Linked DNA regions of Oryzias latipes. Each later gene encodes a partner of the first gene's protein in a complex. Links are inferred from orthologs where the notes say so. Each region holds a gene or a part of one and is shown in the gene's direction. Other genes may lie near its edges.

Region 1 (7,901 bases):
GCTGAACTAGTCTCAGGTGAGATTAAAAAATCAATTTTGCTCCTCGAAAATCACACCAAACCTCTCAGCCCTTGTTATTCTTAGGTCGTGATACAAACATTTTTGTCCTCACTAGAATTCAGAACGATTCCAACACAACAGATCTATCAAATTCAACAAAAAGTAGGTCAAAAAGCAGAATGAGCCTGTAAATAATTGAAAGCACTCCATGATTTTACAGTTTTCAGCCTTCTCTTGAAGTTATCATTTTGTGTATTGGTAAATGATCATCTTGTTTGAATTCCTGTTGCTTTTCATGCATTCAGTTTGGTTTCTGCGTTCTGTTCAAGTCCAGACTCTTTTTGTTAGTTTGATTTTATTTAGTAACTCTGATGGAATCAAAAAAAAAAAATGAGAGTCTAGAATTCTCTGATACACACTGTTCATATTTTTTTAAAAAGACTACAAATATAATCCATCCATATAAGAAGATTTTTTGTTTGATTTTGGGTTTTTTTACATTTCCATTTTCCTCTCCACTTTAGTGCCTGGAACATTTGGTTTCTGGTGTTTGACATGTACTTTATAAGCAGATCTGCAAACTTGAGCTGCACCTTTTTCATTTCTTTCAAAATAAACCACAAATGTTAAGTGTTCCAATAGGTTGAGAACTATATTTAAGATTCTGAATTTTCTGACAATTGCAATAATGAAATTACTTAGTAATTACTTGGTATTCTATATAAAGACAGCAAAGTAGACAGCAAAGAAAACGGTTGTGAACTCATACTTTTGTTATATTGTTGTTGTGCTTTTATTCTGAAGGGTGTTTTACACACAAAGAAAGACTTGGGCAGGGATTTTAGGAATTTCATATAAATAACGGGGAAAAAATGTCGTATAAATTAGAAAAACAGCTGCTGCTGATGGCAGTGGGGCTTACGGTTCCCAAAAGGTGTGCTTTGTTGTGCTTACCCATTTGTGCGGATCAAAGTGCATCAGCAAGCAGCCTGTGATTACCTGTTGTGAGAAGACCATCTGGCCCAGAGTCCCAGTAGGTCAGGTAAAATGGTCAGGAGACAGATTGTCTTATCAAAGCCGCCTGCAGACGTGGAGTTTTAAAGAACCACATTTCTGCATTCAGATTATTGATTTCTGACCAACAACGGGGAAAAAAGGAAGCAGTGTGTGTCTTTCTAAAGGCACACCCAGAGAGCCGGCGCTCTGTAATTGCTTGGCAACTGCTTGCCATGTGTGTGCTAAAGTTTAAGACAACAATAAGCACAAAATGTCTCCAAGAAAAGCATCAGAGCTGCAAAGTAAAGAGCTTCCTGTGCATGCAATCCTTCCTGCCACTTTAATTTGGCCATGTTTCACTGTCAGGATAAAAGATCCGTGGGGAGCTAAATGTTTGCAGGTCGTGGATAGCCACGGGCTTAAACCCTCTCCAGATCAACTTTACTTAAGCCGCCATAAGCAGCCCTGCTTTTTGACACCCAAAAGGCGAAGCTGCTTGGGCGCACAGCTTGTTTTCCTTCTCAGAATTTGGGCTGAATTGATATGGATCATTGTGTCTGTGGGAGGGTTTTGAGTTTGATGAGCTCTGAAGCCTCTAAGCTGAACGTTCAGCTTACTGGCTTTTGTCACAAGGGAGCGGAAGCCATTAAACCGACCACACAAACTACATCAATGTGTTAAAGACACAAGTTCTACCACAAACAGGTCATTAAATTTTACCTTTCTCGGTACAAAAACACATGGGCAGGAATAAGTTTTATCCTTAAATGTCTGGCATTTTTCTACAGGCCTGTTTCTTGTCTGCCTGAGCTCACTTTTTAACAACATTAATCAAGCTTGGTGTAAATAAACTCCTTTTTTTGTTAAGTAACCAAAATCAAATTACACTTTTGAAAAAAGAAAAAATCTGTATAACAAAAGCTCAAAAGCGTGTGGAGCAGAACACCAAGTTTGGCCTGTAAATTTACATATTTAAACAAGATGCAAAAACAAAAACAAACAAAAAATCTGAATTTTCTTTTGCAGACATCATTAGAGCTAGTATCAAATGCACGCTTGCATCTTCTCCACTGTAATTCTGATGTCTTCTCTCTTTGCACTGTGGAGATCTGCTGACATCTCCTGGAGATGTGGATCATCAACATCTGGATTTTTTCTGCATCCGGCTCTGTTTCACATCTGAAATAAAATCCTCAACAAATGTGAAAAACAACTGTTTGTTTTTCATAATTCTGAAGACAGATTGTACCTATTATTTCACAATGCAGTTAATTAATTGGAAAACATCAAAATTAATTAATTTTGGAACTTCCTGTTGGTCCTCTGCTCATTCTGCCTCCAATGTTTTTATTGTTTTAGGCTCATCCAGAAGCACATATTTCTTCTGACTATTCCAAAAGGTAACCACTTTATTGAAATGCATTTGGTTATAAGGTTTGAACTGAATTCAGAGCTGAAAACTCTAAGCATTAATTGGTCCAATTGAAGCTTAAATGTATGTAGCTGGCTAATCTGAATCTAAAGGTTTTATTCGCATTATAGTGAACTTCATAGTTACCTGCTGTTGAAAAGACATTAAAATGGTTATGACTTCAAAAATCTCATTTATCACTGATATATGGTGAAAATGAACATAGAGGACTTTACTGGTTTGACTTACACATTACCTAAAATAAAAATCTGGAATAATAACTTTAAAATCTATTAACAAATAGCTTCTCTTATTATTACGCCAAAAAAGAACTTTATTGTTTTTACCAGTTATTTCAGCAACACCTCGTTGTTACCAAATGATTGAAAATAAAGCGCAATTTGGTCTCTTTTACATGGGATTTTCATTTTATTATTATTACTATTATTATTATTAATTTATTTATATTTTATTTATTTATTACCACAGTGCTGTTTCACTAGGAATGACTCAACGCTAGGGGGCAGCAGTGCGCTCAGAGACATCCTATCTGCACATTATATTCAACGAAGAGGAAGCGTCTCCATTGAATTTTCATTGCGTCACTTCCTTGTAAAATAAAACAAACGTATATGCGGTTTTGTGCTATGGTTTAATTTTTTTTTGTAAACAACTGCCTATATTTCGGTTTAGTAAATCTCATATTTAAGGAATAATAGGTGTTCACTATCAGGTTAGTTGTGTCTCATTTCTTCTTGAATTACAGTAAAGGCTTTTCCAGTCGTATTATTTATTTAGTCTTTTTTCCATGCTTGCTAAGCCGGCTAATGTTTACAGCCGGTGGTTTCCTTTTCATAAACTGCCTCAGTTACATAAACGCGTAATTAATAATAATCATAGTTGAATTGTTAGATTATTCGTTGTCATGTTTTAAGCTAGAGAGACATTTTAAACAAACGGTACACACACACGGCTTTGTTTGTTTGTTCCTGCTCTCCGTTTTTAAATTGTTTACAATATGCCAAATCATGACGTTTTATTTCAAGTTAACACATAATGAAGATGTGATGAAGAGAAACATTTTAGATGCTCACTCTGTCTGATGGTTAGAGAATCCATTAATTGTGACATTTCAAAGCTTGAATTTCATTGAAATAATCATCACACATGTTTATATATTAATATTTCACCAAGTACCGCCTGTAGAGGAAAATAAAGTATTTTGTGTGTTTTGCTCCATGATACCACCCTTATTTCCCCTTTTCCCGTGTCTCCCACACGTCCAGGTTGTGGACATGGAGCCGCCCAGTAAACCTGGCTCCAACCAGGTGGCCGATGTGGTTTTTGTCATCGAAGGGACGGCAAACCTGGGACCGTACTTTGAATCACTGAGAAAAAACTACATCCTTCCAGCTATTGAGTAAGAAGCAGAAGATGTGCAGACTTTACAGAGTGAGCTGCTCATACATTAAAACAGTAAATATCTTATTTCTTTTTTTCTAGATATTTTAATGGAGGGCCCCCAGCAGAAACAGATTTTGGTGGAGACGTGAGTGTAATTTCTGTTTTTGTTAGTATTTCAGTTTTTTAAACTATTTTAGTCCCGTTTTGTAATAATAAGTGACATCTGTTTTTCTTCCTAGTATGGTGGAACACAGTATGGTCTGGTGGTGTTCAACACAGTGGACTGTGCTCCTGAATCCTACGTTCAGTGTCACGCACCAACCAGCTCTGCCTACGAGTTTGTTTCATGGATCGACAGCATCCAGTAACTTGGCTACATTTATTAAAAAAGCAGATAGGGATCTTGTCTAAAACTCCCATGAATTTCTTGAAAGATGTGATGGGTGTTTTCCTGCAGGTTCATGGGTGGTGGAGCAGAAAGCTGCAGCCTGATTGCAGAAGGCCTTTCTGTGGCCTTGCAGCTCTTTGACGACTTTAAAAAAATGAGGGAGCAAATGTAAGGTATCATTTCGTCTAAGATGTTTAAAACATTGTTCTGTGTTTATTAAAATAAAAGTTAAAGTACATTTTAGCTCCCTAACTTTTGTTTAAACCAGGGTCTGCAACCTTTAACACTAAAAAAGCCATTCAGGCCAGTTTCCCATTGACAAAAACAGCAGCAGCTCCGAAGTCTTGTTTCACCCTCTAGAAAAATTCAAAACTCCTTTGTATTTGTTGCTTTCTTTTTTTGATATATATATATTAATTAAGCTATTTTGACTTAAATAAAAACAATAGGGAAAAAATAAATGATAGCATTTTATTCAATTCACATGAATTTGTTTTTTCCTCCTGAGAAAAGTGGACACTTTTAAAAAAATAAAGACACATCTGCTGCCGTAAATATACTTCAAAGAAAATGTTATACAATGTAAATCAACAAAGGCTTTTTCTTTTGTTTTATATAAGTCTACTTTGGTGTGTCATCGCCCTTTTCCAAGCTTAGTAATATAACCTGAAGATAAATATCATGGTCTGAGAGCCATGTATAAAAGTATATACATGTCTTTCTCTTTCCCCCTCTGGGCAGTTATTAAACATTATTTTGCAGCGTAACATAATTTGTTTTAAGTATATCCCAATAATAAACATACTTAAAGGATTACAATGTTTTTAAGAACACATGTAATTTGCTGAGTGTTTGAAATGTGTGCATTCTGGGAGAAACATAAGGCCGTTTTCATTTTTTATTGTTATAGGAGCATTTTAGCCAAAAATCTAAGAAACTACATTTAAATCAATGCTACGATATTTATCACAACCAAAGAGCCAGAATGGAGCAGTTTGGCTCTGGAGCCTCGTGTTGCAGATCCCTGCTTAAGACATCACTGACTACTTTTTAAGTTTTGTCTAAACAAGTTTTTTTCACGGTAAATGGGGAGAACGTAGACTTCCAATGTCTGATGTTGACTTTTACAGTATTCTAAACATACTGTGAAGGATTTTTAACAGTCATTGTTCTTGTTTCTGTCTGCGTGTGTCACTGCAGAGGTCAAACACATAAGGTCTGCGTGCTTCTGTGTAATTCTCCTCCGTATCTGCTTCCTGCTGTGGAGAGCGTCAGCTACACCGGATGCACAGCGGAAAGCCTGGCCAAAATCATCAGAGATGTGAGTTTTTCTACTGTGGTTTTTAATTTTGTTCAGTTCTATGAGTTGTGGCATTTCTCCTTTTTTATTATGGGAATATTTCAGATTTAAGGGGGAATTTTCAATGAATTAATCCGTCCATCAAATTGACCGTCCAACTAACTAGTCTAAGCGATGATGTCCTAAGATTTCCCTCCCCAGAATTGTTTTCAAATCTTCAGTTTTTCCAATTATTGTCACAATATATTATATTTGAAATAGATTTTTTTGAATAGGAATTAATATCTTCTCATTCAAACCAATTGTTTAGTCTGTCTGAACAGCATTCTTTTAAGAATATTTTACAACTACAAACCAAAAAGAAGAAAATCTCAATGCAATTTCAATTGCTGTCATTCTATTACAATATTTTTACACTGACTTTCACATCCATGAGGCTGTGAAAGCAAAACTTTCTAATATTGTTGAGGCGACTTTCCTACTGAAGCTTTCTGAGGAGCCGATGGGTTGACAGGGTCTGTCTTATAAATGCGACGCAGTTCATTCCGTTGTTTTGTGTGTGTTTTTTTTTTGTTTTTGTTTTTAACTAAAAAGAATCAAAGTAAAATAAATTTATTTTGTACGAGTTCATGAAGCTGATTAACCAATGGGAAGAAAAGTGGACAGCAAAGAAAACGGTTGTGAAAGTAGCAAATAACTAAAGAAACAACCCAAGCTGCCCTCTCAGTTTGCGGATTTGCTGAAACAATTTAGTCAATATTCAAGATAATCAAGTGTCAATTAAATATGAGTACAAACAAACAAGTAAACAAGAATTATTGGCAAATCCATTCACATTTGAGTTTCCTAAAGTTCAGCCGACTGTTGTTTTTCCACATCCAAAGAATCCAAAGGGAACAAGATTAGAACATTCTAGACACTGTTTGGTCACATGACTTTAGTAATTTCAAAGTGTTTCCACACATTGGACTGGAATGATCGTCGTCACATGTGTGTTGTCTGCAGTGATGCACATCAACCTACTGCGCCTCAACCCAAATGGCGTTTTCCATTATCGATAAAATCGGTTTATTTCATTTTGAAACTGTCTTAAAATGCTGTCGGTTGATTCCGTTAGCAACTTTCCTCAGACGGAGCGATTTCTTTGGACTAGAAAAAAAATGTATTCATCATTTAAGTAGATGAACCCCTTCTAATTAACAAATTAAAAAAGATGAAATATGTAAACAGGGAAATGTGCAAAGAAACTGCGGGACATTTAGGCTTCTAGAAATATAATTCTGAAGCTAAGGATAAAAAATAAATGTTACAATTTGCCAAATAGACTCGTTTATTAAATATGTATGTAGGACTTTTCGGACTTGTTACATAAAGACTAAACATTATTCTTCATAATCCTAGTTAGTACACTGCAGAGCTATTTAACCCCCCAAGAGAATTTAGAGCATAAAGAGTGAAGTGATGGTGTTTTTAATTGAATGTATGTTGTATATTTCTTTAGAGAGGAATCCACTTTTCTGTGGTGGCGCCTCGAAAGCTCCCCGCTCTGAGGTCTTTGTTTGAAAGAGCGTCACCGCTGAACGGGGCGGTCGAGCCCCTCCCTGACTACAGCCAGGACCCCTTTCACATGGTGCTCATCAGAGGCATCTCACTTCCTGGTGAGAAACCACACAGAGGGCGCCGTTTGTGCACTTCCCTGACCCGTCAGTCTTTTTGTAATGCACCGAGCTACAAGGTTATGCGTCTGCAAGCTTTCATTAGAGTGACGAGTTTCTTTATTCTCTAACATCAGCTATTAAAGATCATAAAACTGTCACAATTTTAGGAGAAAGAAAAATCGTGCCCGCTTTCAGGGAAAATGCCCTTGAAAATAAGCAATGTTGAAGATTTCCGCGTTTGGAGACAAACTGAGTCCTGACATTCAAAAACAGGATGTCCTTGTTCATTCAGAGAAGGGCTGTGTCCATACAGATGTTTCAGATGTTTCATGACTTTGATTATTTGGAATGGATGTGCTTAACATTACCTCGCATTATAAGTTTATTGGATAACTTTGTTAAAGACCCACTCCAATTAAAATCAGGTTTTTGGTGGTTTTAACATATTATGTGGCATTTTCCTGATGATGGAGGAGCTAGATGAAGAAAATTAAGCTTGAAGTATTTCTAAAGTAACACATTTACATCAATATATTTAATCTATTTAGTATTTGTGAATCAGGAGGAGATGTTTGTGTTGTAGAAAATAACCAGCTCCCTCTCCATTCTGATGCATCCACTTGCAGACTAATAGATCCATGAACGTCTTTGTTTTCCTCATCTGACCTGGAATCTGGCTCCAACCGGTACGGATGGATAGCTCCGATATTGCTCGCCATTTTTGTTGCACTGCAAATGTTAGGT
Region 2 (7,933 bases), on another chromosome or scaffold:
CGACGTTTTTTGGTACTTAACTCCTACAATTTTTCCGCTATTTTAACCATTCAACTATTAAAATGTTCACATCTTTCAGCTTTGAACATTTCAACTATTCAACTATTAAAATGTTCAAATCTTTCAGCTTTTTCCTGTTATGACTTTTGGTCTTTCAAATCTTTGAACTTTTCTTTGCTTCTTTCTTTGGTGCAGAAGCTTGCGGGTTCGATACCCGGCTCTGGCATTTTTCATAAAAAGATCTTTTTTGTTATTGTGTCGTTTTCACTTTTATTGTGGTCAACTTTGATCATTTCCTTCTTTTTTTGACAATTATTCCCCTTTAAGTTCAATTTTTATCCTTGAAATGCAGCTCCTTGGAATTGTTATTGTTTGATCTTTTTCATCTTCAGAGTGGAACAAGCGTTCAAGAACCTGTTGATGACATCGACAGCTCCACTCAACCCTATCTGCTTGCAATTGGTACAAAGAAGGGCACAGTCCAGGATTTGGTAAATGGCGTATACTTATATAGCGCCTTTCTTCCTACAAGGACAAAGCGCTTTACAGTCACAGACCCATTCACCCAGTCACACGCACATTCACACACACATTCACACACTGGTGGCGGCTCCGCTGCCAAACACAGGCGCCCGCCTACCCCCAGAGGCAAGGTGGGGTTCAGTGTCTTGCCCAAGGACACTTCGACTCATGGGCGTGCAAGGCGGGAATCGAACCTGCAATATTACGATCATGGGTCGACCGCCCTACCGCTGCACCACGGCCGCCCTTTCTACATTTCTACATCGTTCTGGACAAGCAGGTAATTCCGTGCAAGTCAACCATTTAACTTGGAGCTTTTGATTAACTCTTTAAAGTACATTTTGTTTTTGGTACCTGTACAGCAGGGGTCACCAACCTTTTTGAGACTGAGGGCTATTTCATGGGCACTAAGTGGTCTGAAGGGCGCCACAGGACCTGTTTGCTAAAAATTTCCTAGCCCCTCCCCACACACACACACAAACACAATTTGACGACATCCTTTTGTGTGCCCCATTTTTATTCGCTAATTTTACACACAAAAATGCATGACTTTTCTAGACTCATATTACAGGGGGGTCAAACTCAGTTGCAGAGGGGGCCTAAATCCAAAACACACTTCGTAATTGGAAATAAGATCAGAAACTCGTGCGTTTACTTTGTTCGTTATTTTTCTCCAAGCAGAAACTCTTTCTTTTGCTTTCTTTGGGGTGCAAATTCTGAGGTTTTTACTTTCAGAGTTTTAATGAGCCTGAGGTTTTAACAGCTCCATCACACCTTTTCTATGTTCACCCTCTAGCATTTCCTTTGCTTTGCACTTGCTGTGTTTTCAGAAGACGGACAAGTGTGAGTAATAATCCTTTACATTTTCCACAAATCATAAAGTGACTAATCATTTACTAATCATTTTCCACTAATCATTATTTCTTTATTTGCAGGTGGAAGAAGAACCCTCCATTGTTTATTCCTTAATTGCCTTTAGAACCCCTGCAAAGACCAATGGCCGTGAATTAGCCCACAATGAAACCATTTACAGTGAAATAAAATTCACAAAAAGCAGTTTGGATAGGTTGAGCAGGTAATTGTTGCGATATTTTAGCAGTTCTGAAGTTGCCTTAACATGGATTCTGTTTTGTGAGTTGAAGTAAACTTCACCCTACAAGGTCCAAAATGGAAACCCTTAGAAGGGTTTTTTCCATTGTGTCAGAAAATGAATAACTGCTTGCTAATTATCTTTATGAAATATAGCATTGCTTTGTGTCTGTACCTGATACTGTCAGCAAGTGCTTTGAAAACAGAAAACAAGTTCCTTTAAATTATTCTGAACCATTATTTTTTCTGACACAAATTTTGTTAAATATTTTTTCTTTAAAGGCTTCGGAATCCGTCAAAACACAGTTTTTATATCTTTATTATTTTATGTGTAAAATATGCATCTGATGGAATGTTTGTCATTTACTTTAAAAGGTTAAGCACAAATCTTAAAAAAGTTTGTGAACCTCAATCAGCCAAAAACTATAGCAGCATGTCTGAATTTTAAATGTTTTATTCAATGTTTTAAAAAGAAAATATTTAACAAAAACTAATTGTAAAAATATTGTAATTGTTGTGAAGACAGCATCTGAGTTTTAAAAAAAAGGCCCACAGAGCTAGGCTTTTATTTTTTTATGTGCCAGCAATTACTATTACAACATTTTCGGTATGAAATCTACATATATATTTTTATTATTTTTAAATATGTGCAAGGTTTTCAAATACATTTAGTTACTTATCTGCACTGATAATAGTTTCAATTTTTAGAGCACGTTTTGGTTTGTGAGTGTTTTTGTAAATCAAATGACTTGAAGTTGATTTTTAAAAAAATGTTATTTATGGATTGTATTTTTAAAGTAACCCCTGTTTGGGTTACTGTAATTGATCCTTTTTCTACATTGCTAAAATTTAAGTTCAATAAGTGTATTCAACGTGTACTTATTGTTTTATCATTTGCCTAAATACCTGTTTGCGCGGAAAAAGCTAACACAGAAAGTTGCTTCCATGAATGGTTATATTCCGGGGTTTCAGTAGGTGGCAGTAACGAGCTTTAAACTGGATTGAAAGCGCCTTTTAAAAACAAAAGCCAAGGAAGAACTTGGGCGCCTTTGTTTTCTGATTAGCATCAAATTTTGGTTGTTTTTAGAACGGGTTACAATATATATTTCATTAACACTTTTTTTATTTTTTAAGTTAAGTACGAATGCCTTAAATTACTTTGTTGATGACAGTAACAGCTCAAATCGTGAGTTGGTAATTCCATGTAGGCTAACTGTTAACTGGTACTAGCAGCCGTGTGGATATTAGCTAACCGGTGAAACAGGGGGCCCACCGTGGAAACCAACCACAAACAGCAAAAATATCTTAACTTTAGTCAGTTCTAACGCTGCGCCGAACTCTTTATTCTGCTCAGGTAAACCATCTTACTCTGTAGTGAGAAACGTCTACTGCTTTTGCTAGTTAGCATAAGCCTGCTATTGGTAGTTGTATTTGTTCGCTAATTTAGCTAACAACTGTTTTCTGTTTACTCATTCATTCATTGGTAATGTCACTCACATGTATCATCAAACAACTGCAAATGAAATAGAGTAGTCCAACAACACTTTGCAAAAAGTAGCCTATTTAGTTTACTACATGTATAATTGGCTAGTGGGACGATATACTTGAAGTAAACTTTTAAACACAATCTAGTATTGCTAAATTCAAAACATAAAATGTTCCAATTTAGTCTGAAGAAGTTTTCAGTCAGTTAATACTTCTTTCACAATATACACATGGTCTATCGTACACTTGTACTTATTCTCACGTGTCCTCAATGAAATAAACTTCAAGTGTAGTACTTTTTGCTAAGTGAATGACAATGCCATCATTCACTATTACTTTAAATCAGGAAGAAGATGGAAGCTCCTCCTGTCACAGTTATGCCCGTCACCGGCGGTGCCATCAACATGATGGAATATCTGTTACAAGGTGAGACGATTCAGATATAGAAGGTTCAACCAGAGATATAGAGGCTTGATATATTTACAGATAAAACGGTGTATTTTTCCAGAATACATATATTAGAAGCCAGTATGAAGTTCACTGGCTAAATTATTTGAAAAATAATGTTTACATCTTCATTCTGTTGCTAAAACCAACTTCTATCCATTAATATTAGTCTTTAAAAAAAAACTATTAAGTTGAGCTAATTATTTTTCCATCATGAGTGTTGGTGTAGCATTAAAGAGCAAACCACACTGTCAAGAGTGTGGAAAGAGTGCTCAGTTACTTTCTGTCTTGAAAATAATATATATTTCTAAGGTTTTCCTGTCCTGTTTGTGCTGCACTTTACTGGACACATTTGTATTTAGTAAACTGAAGTATTTAAGATTATATAGATGCATAAAGATTTATGGAAAAATAATCCTCAAGTCAGGAAAGCTTTTTTTAAATTTTTTTATTCATGAAACCTGTTATTCATGTTTTCATCACATCTGAAGTGTTTATTGAAACTGTGTTTGTAAAAAAAAGAGATCTAAAACGAACACTAATTTTAACATTGAACATTTTTTAATTTCATGATGGAGGATTATATGTTTAATATTCATTTTTAAAAAGTTGTATCACAGCAGGAAATAATTATAGTGGGAGTAAAGAACTTACTATATGAGTCTTTAAAGGATATTCTATTTTCTCGTTTTTTTCAGGCAGTGTTTTGGATCAGGCTCTGGAAAGCCTCCTGCATCGCCTGCGTGGTCTCTGTGACAACATGGAACCAGAGACTTTCACCGACCACGAGCTGGTTTACCTTTTGAAAGGCCAGCAAGGCAACCCCTTCATTCTGCGTGCCAGACGCTCCCTCTCCCACCCTACTTCTCCATGGCACCTGCGGTATCTAGGCCAGCCAGAAGTGGGAGACAAGAGCCGCCATGCTCTGGTTCGCAACTGTGTCGATGTAGCTGCCTCTCAAAGCCTTCCGGAGTTCCTCAATGAGATGGGCTTTCGCATGGACCATGAGTTTGTGGCCAGTGGTCACATATTTCGCAAAGGAGCAATGAAAGTTGTGGTTAGCAAGGTTTCACGCATCCTAGTACCAGGGAACACGGAAAATACAGAGCGAATGTCGCTGTCGTATTTAGTGGAACTGAGCATTTTGGCTCCGGCCGGACAGGACACCGTGTCAGAAGACATGCGCAGCTTTGCCGAGCAGCTCAAACCTCTGATTCATCTGGAGAAGATTGACCCAAGCAAGCAGAGACATTAAGCATTAATGGAAAAAAATGTTTTTGTTATTGTTTTCCTTTCCATTTAAATGCTTTTTAATGTGATGAAATACAGATTTACTTTGCTTAAACTGTTACAGTTGTGGTTAATCTGACCTGTCAGAGTATTTTTTTAATTTATTTTTTACTTTTTGTGCCTACTATAAAGAAAATATTATAGTAACAAATAGCTGGAAAATACTTAAATATATTTTAAGTTGACAAACATTTTGCAATGCCTCAGATGGCTTATGTTATTGCTTTAAAAATTTTTTTTTAAATCTTCAATTTCATTTTTTTATATAATAAATGTCCACCAGGGGTCTCTCTTTCCACAAGGATGGTCTTAATTGGAGCAAAGTGAACGCTACCTCTCATCATCTACAGGAGCTCTGGTTGCCATGGAAATAATTAGCTGTGCGATCTGCACATCGTTTACCCCACTCTAATTAGCTTTCTCAATTGCTTAATGATACATAGACCTGTGAAAGCCTTTCTTTCTTCCTTTCCACAAAAGCATTGATTTTCCCTCTCTTCCCCTTTCATTTCTACTGTTAACCCATTAGTATCCTTTCTTTTTTTCATGGGAACTTGAGCTGGGACTATTACAAGTGAAAGCACTATGGTTGCCTTAGGTCCTTCATTGCTCATGTTGAAATTGGAAAAAGGGGGTTGTATATTAGTGTGTCAACATGGCCAAGCTACTGCAGAGGCGGAAGTAACTAATGCACATCCTGTCAGTTATGATAATAATGTTGGCAAAAAGACAAGATTGTTTCTAATAATACCCTTGCAGGAAGATGCATTTGCTGGAGTTGAGATGTAGAGTGACCATGTGCATGTCTGAGCGGACAGCTCCGGGGCTGATGCCTGTCTCTGCATGTTGACCTACCTGCATTTCAAGGCTGATGAGGACAAGCTCACTGAGGTGGAAAGGTGAGGTGGCATTGCTTCCACATGCGTTTAGAGCACACTGAAAGAAAGCCGCACTTTTGAACCTCCAGTACCCTAATCCCCCTTTTTAAAAAAAAAAAAAAAAAAAACTTTAACTTATAGTGACCATTTTAGTCTGAGCATCATTTAGTTGAATATCTGACAAAGATGGCAGACAAAAGTTAGCGTCAGAGTAAATTATCTATTGATGTTCCAACAACCACAAACAGACTACTGGCTCCAAGGACTGGAGCATAGTTTTTCAGCTCTGAGTGAATTATATATTAAAGAGGGAGATGCCTCCTTGCCTAAGGCTTGATATGTCCAGCATGGATACACTACAGTCTACTGGCTTTCTTCCACTTAAACTTGTGTTTAGCACAGTGCTCTTTTGTGAGTCCCTCTACACCTCCACGTTGCCTAGAGAGCAGAAGCATAGCTAGGATAATCAGCATCTTGGCATCAGGCCTACATGGTTTTGTGGATGTTGCCAGCCACATAAGTAAAGGATTTAACTCTTTGCAGAAGACCATATGCAAGTTGGTCCACCAAAAATATATTTTTGTCATACCAGCTCTTTATTTTCATCTTAGTTTCCCATCATTTGTTGTTCTTTTAGCTGATCAGATTTGATATTTCGCTCTTGAAAAGTGAGAATAAATTTCAAGAAAACCACCTTTATGTATTGAATACGTTGACAGCATTTGTTTGCATCATTATGTTGCAGAGTAGATGGCATTACTGTACATGCATGTTTTTATTGTTTTGTCGTACAGAATTTGTACAGAAATATTAGAGCCACCATGTGTTTTGACATCTTTTTTTCTACAGTTAATCCTGCTTCCGTTGTGGGAATGAGAGACGTTGCACATTGGTTTCCCTCTCTGGGCCATTTGGTTGCTCTGCATTTTTAGCTGTTGCTTTAATTAATTGGCTAAGGCAGATAGCGTTAATCATATTGTGTTAGACCTTCGAATGGGAATGGAAGTCATTACCTGCACATGCCTATATTTCCCATTTTACAAAACAGTCTTAATTAAAACTCTTGGCACCCATCTTCTCCTTGCTTCTGAACATAATGTTCATAGTTGCAGATGCCAAGATGCCGTAGAAAGTTGGCAGTTGCTCCAGGGAGGAAGTCTTTAAGTCAGATTTCTTTGGGCCAATGCCACAGAGGGGCTGAAATCAAGCTTCACCTCCAGAGTCCATTGTTGCGAAAGCGAAGAATTGAGCCTTCTTCCTGTGTAATTGGGAACCCTTGGTCTTGTTAGACAGCGTGGGTTGTGCGCTGGGAGGGGAGGAGCTTTTGCAGGCAGACATCCTTTCCCAAGGGTGTCCTTGTGGTTTCTCAGGATACTTTAGAAGACAATGGCTCACAGAGACACATTTGAAAGAATATTAAGTTTGTGACCAAAGGAATCAGGATGGGCCTTACAAAAAAAAAGCCCCTGTTCTTTGAACAAGATTCCAACACAATTTGACACCCTCCAACTTGACGAAATGCAAAGCTGTGACTTGTTCATGTGGTGATCTGCCTCCCTTGTGGCTCACAGAGATGATCATTGCTATGCACAACATGCTGTTCCAGGGTCAGCCACTCAGAGCTTGAAGCCAGCTACGCTGCCTGTGGAATGTCTGGTATGGGGGACAACGTCAGAGTCAGCCCAGAGGGGACCGAGCGCCTCACCCTTCCTCCCCTCTGTCTGGTTCCTCTCCAATCCCAGCAGTTTTGTTTCTCTTGACATTCAGTCCTGCTGTGAGACTCTGGGTCTGCCTGTTTGCCTGCTTGATAGTCATTTGGTTTTCTTTCACTTCCTGTGTAATCAAGGCGCATTGTGTAATCTGAAGTGTCACCAAAATTATGGCTTTCATAAGTGTTGCTTGTGAGGCATCTCAAGCAAAACCTTGTGTAAAAGTCTAGAAGCTGGAAAAGGCGTATCTGCCTCCGGGCTTGTTTTGATTTTTAATCTAGGGTGGCTGTGATTGAAATATAGCAAATGATTTCCCCGTAATCATGTCTATAATGAACAATATTATTTAGTTGTATTTAAATAAGTAAACTAATAGCTAGTTTGCATTTTAATCTTGTGATTTGGGTGGGACACAGCATGAAATTCTTCTGTGACACACAGGATGACGCATCCTCCCTAAAACTGTATGGTTTTGGAGGAGTTTCTCAACATGGTTCATGTCGGAGTTTGCAG

Evidence for each region. Proteins that work in one complex are often made in the same cells at the same time.
Region 2: med25 (region 1) and med18 share a complex: the UniProt entries of both Homo sapiens proteins name them as parts of the mediator complex. The link is inferred for Oryzias latipes from reciprocal best matches to the Homo sapiens genes MED25 and MED18.

What each region holds. Positions count from the first base shown.
Region 1 is NC_019866.2:3,603,439-3,611,339, reverse strand, and holds the start of med25 (mediator of RNA polymerase II transcription subunit 25), read left to right. Parts: upstream 1-2,994; 5' UTR 2,995-3,140; intron 3,141-3,693; 5' UTR 3,694-3,702; coding exon 3,703-3,827; intron 3,828-3,910; coding exon 3,911-3,956; intron 3,957-4,050; coding exon 4,051-4,175; intron 4,176-4,268; coding exon 4,269-4,367; intron 4,368-5,399; coding exon 5,400-5,520; intron 5,521-7,000; coding exon 7,001-7,157; intron 7,158-7,901. UniProt on the Homo sapiens protein: Component of the Mediator complex, a coactivator involved in the regulated transcription of nearly all RNA polymerase II-dependent genes.
Region 2 is NC_019874.2:22,761,670-22,769,602, reverse strand, and holds med18 (mediator of RNA polymerase II transcription subunit 18), read left to right. Parts: upstream 1-2,608; 5' UTR 2,609-2,965; intron 2,966-3,442; 5' UTR 3,443-3,449; coding exon 3,450-3,522; intron 3,523-4,241; coding exon 4,242-4,798; 3' UTR 4,799-4,907; downstream 4,908-7,933. UniProt on the Homo sapiens protein: Component of the Mediator complex, a coactivator involved in the regulated transcription of nearly all RNA polymerase II-dependent genes.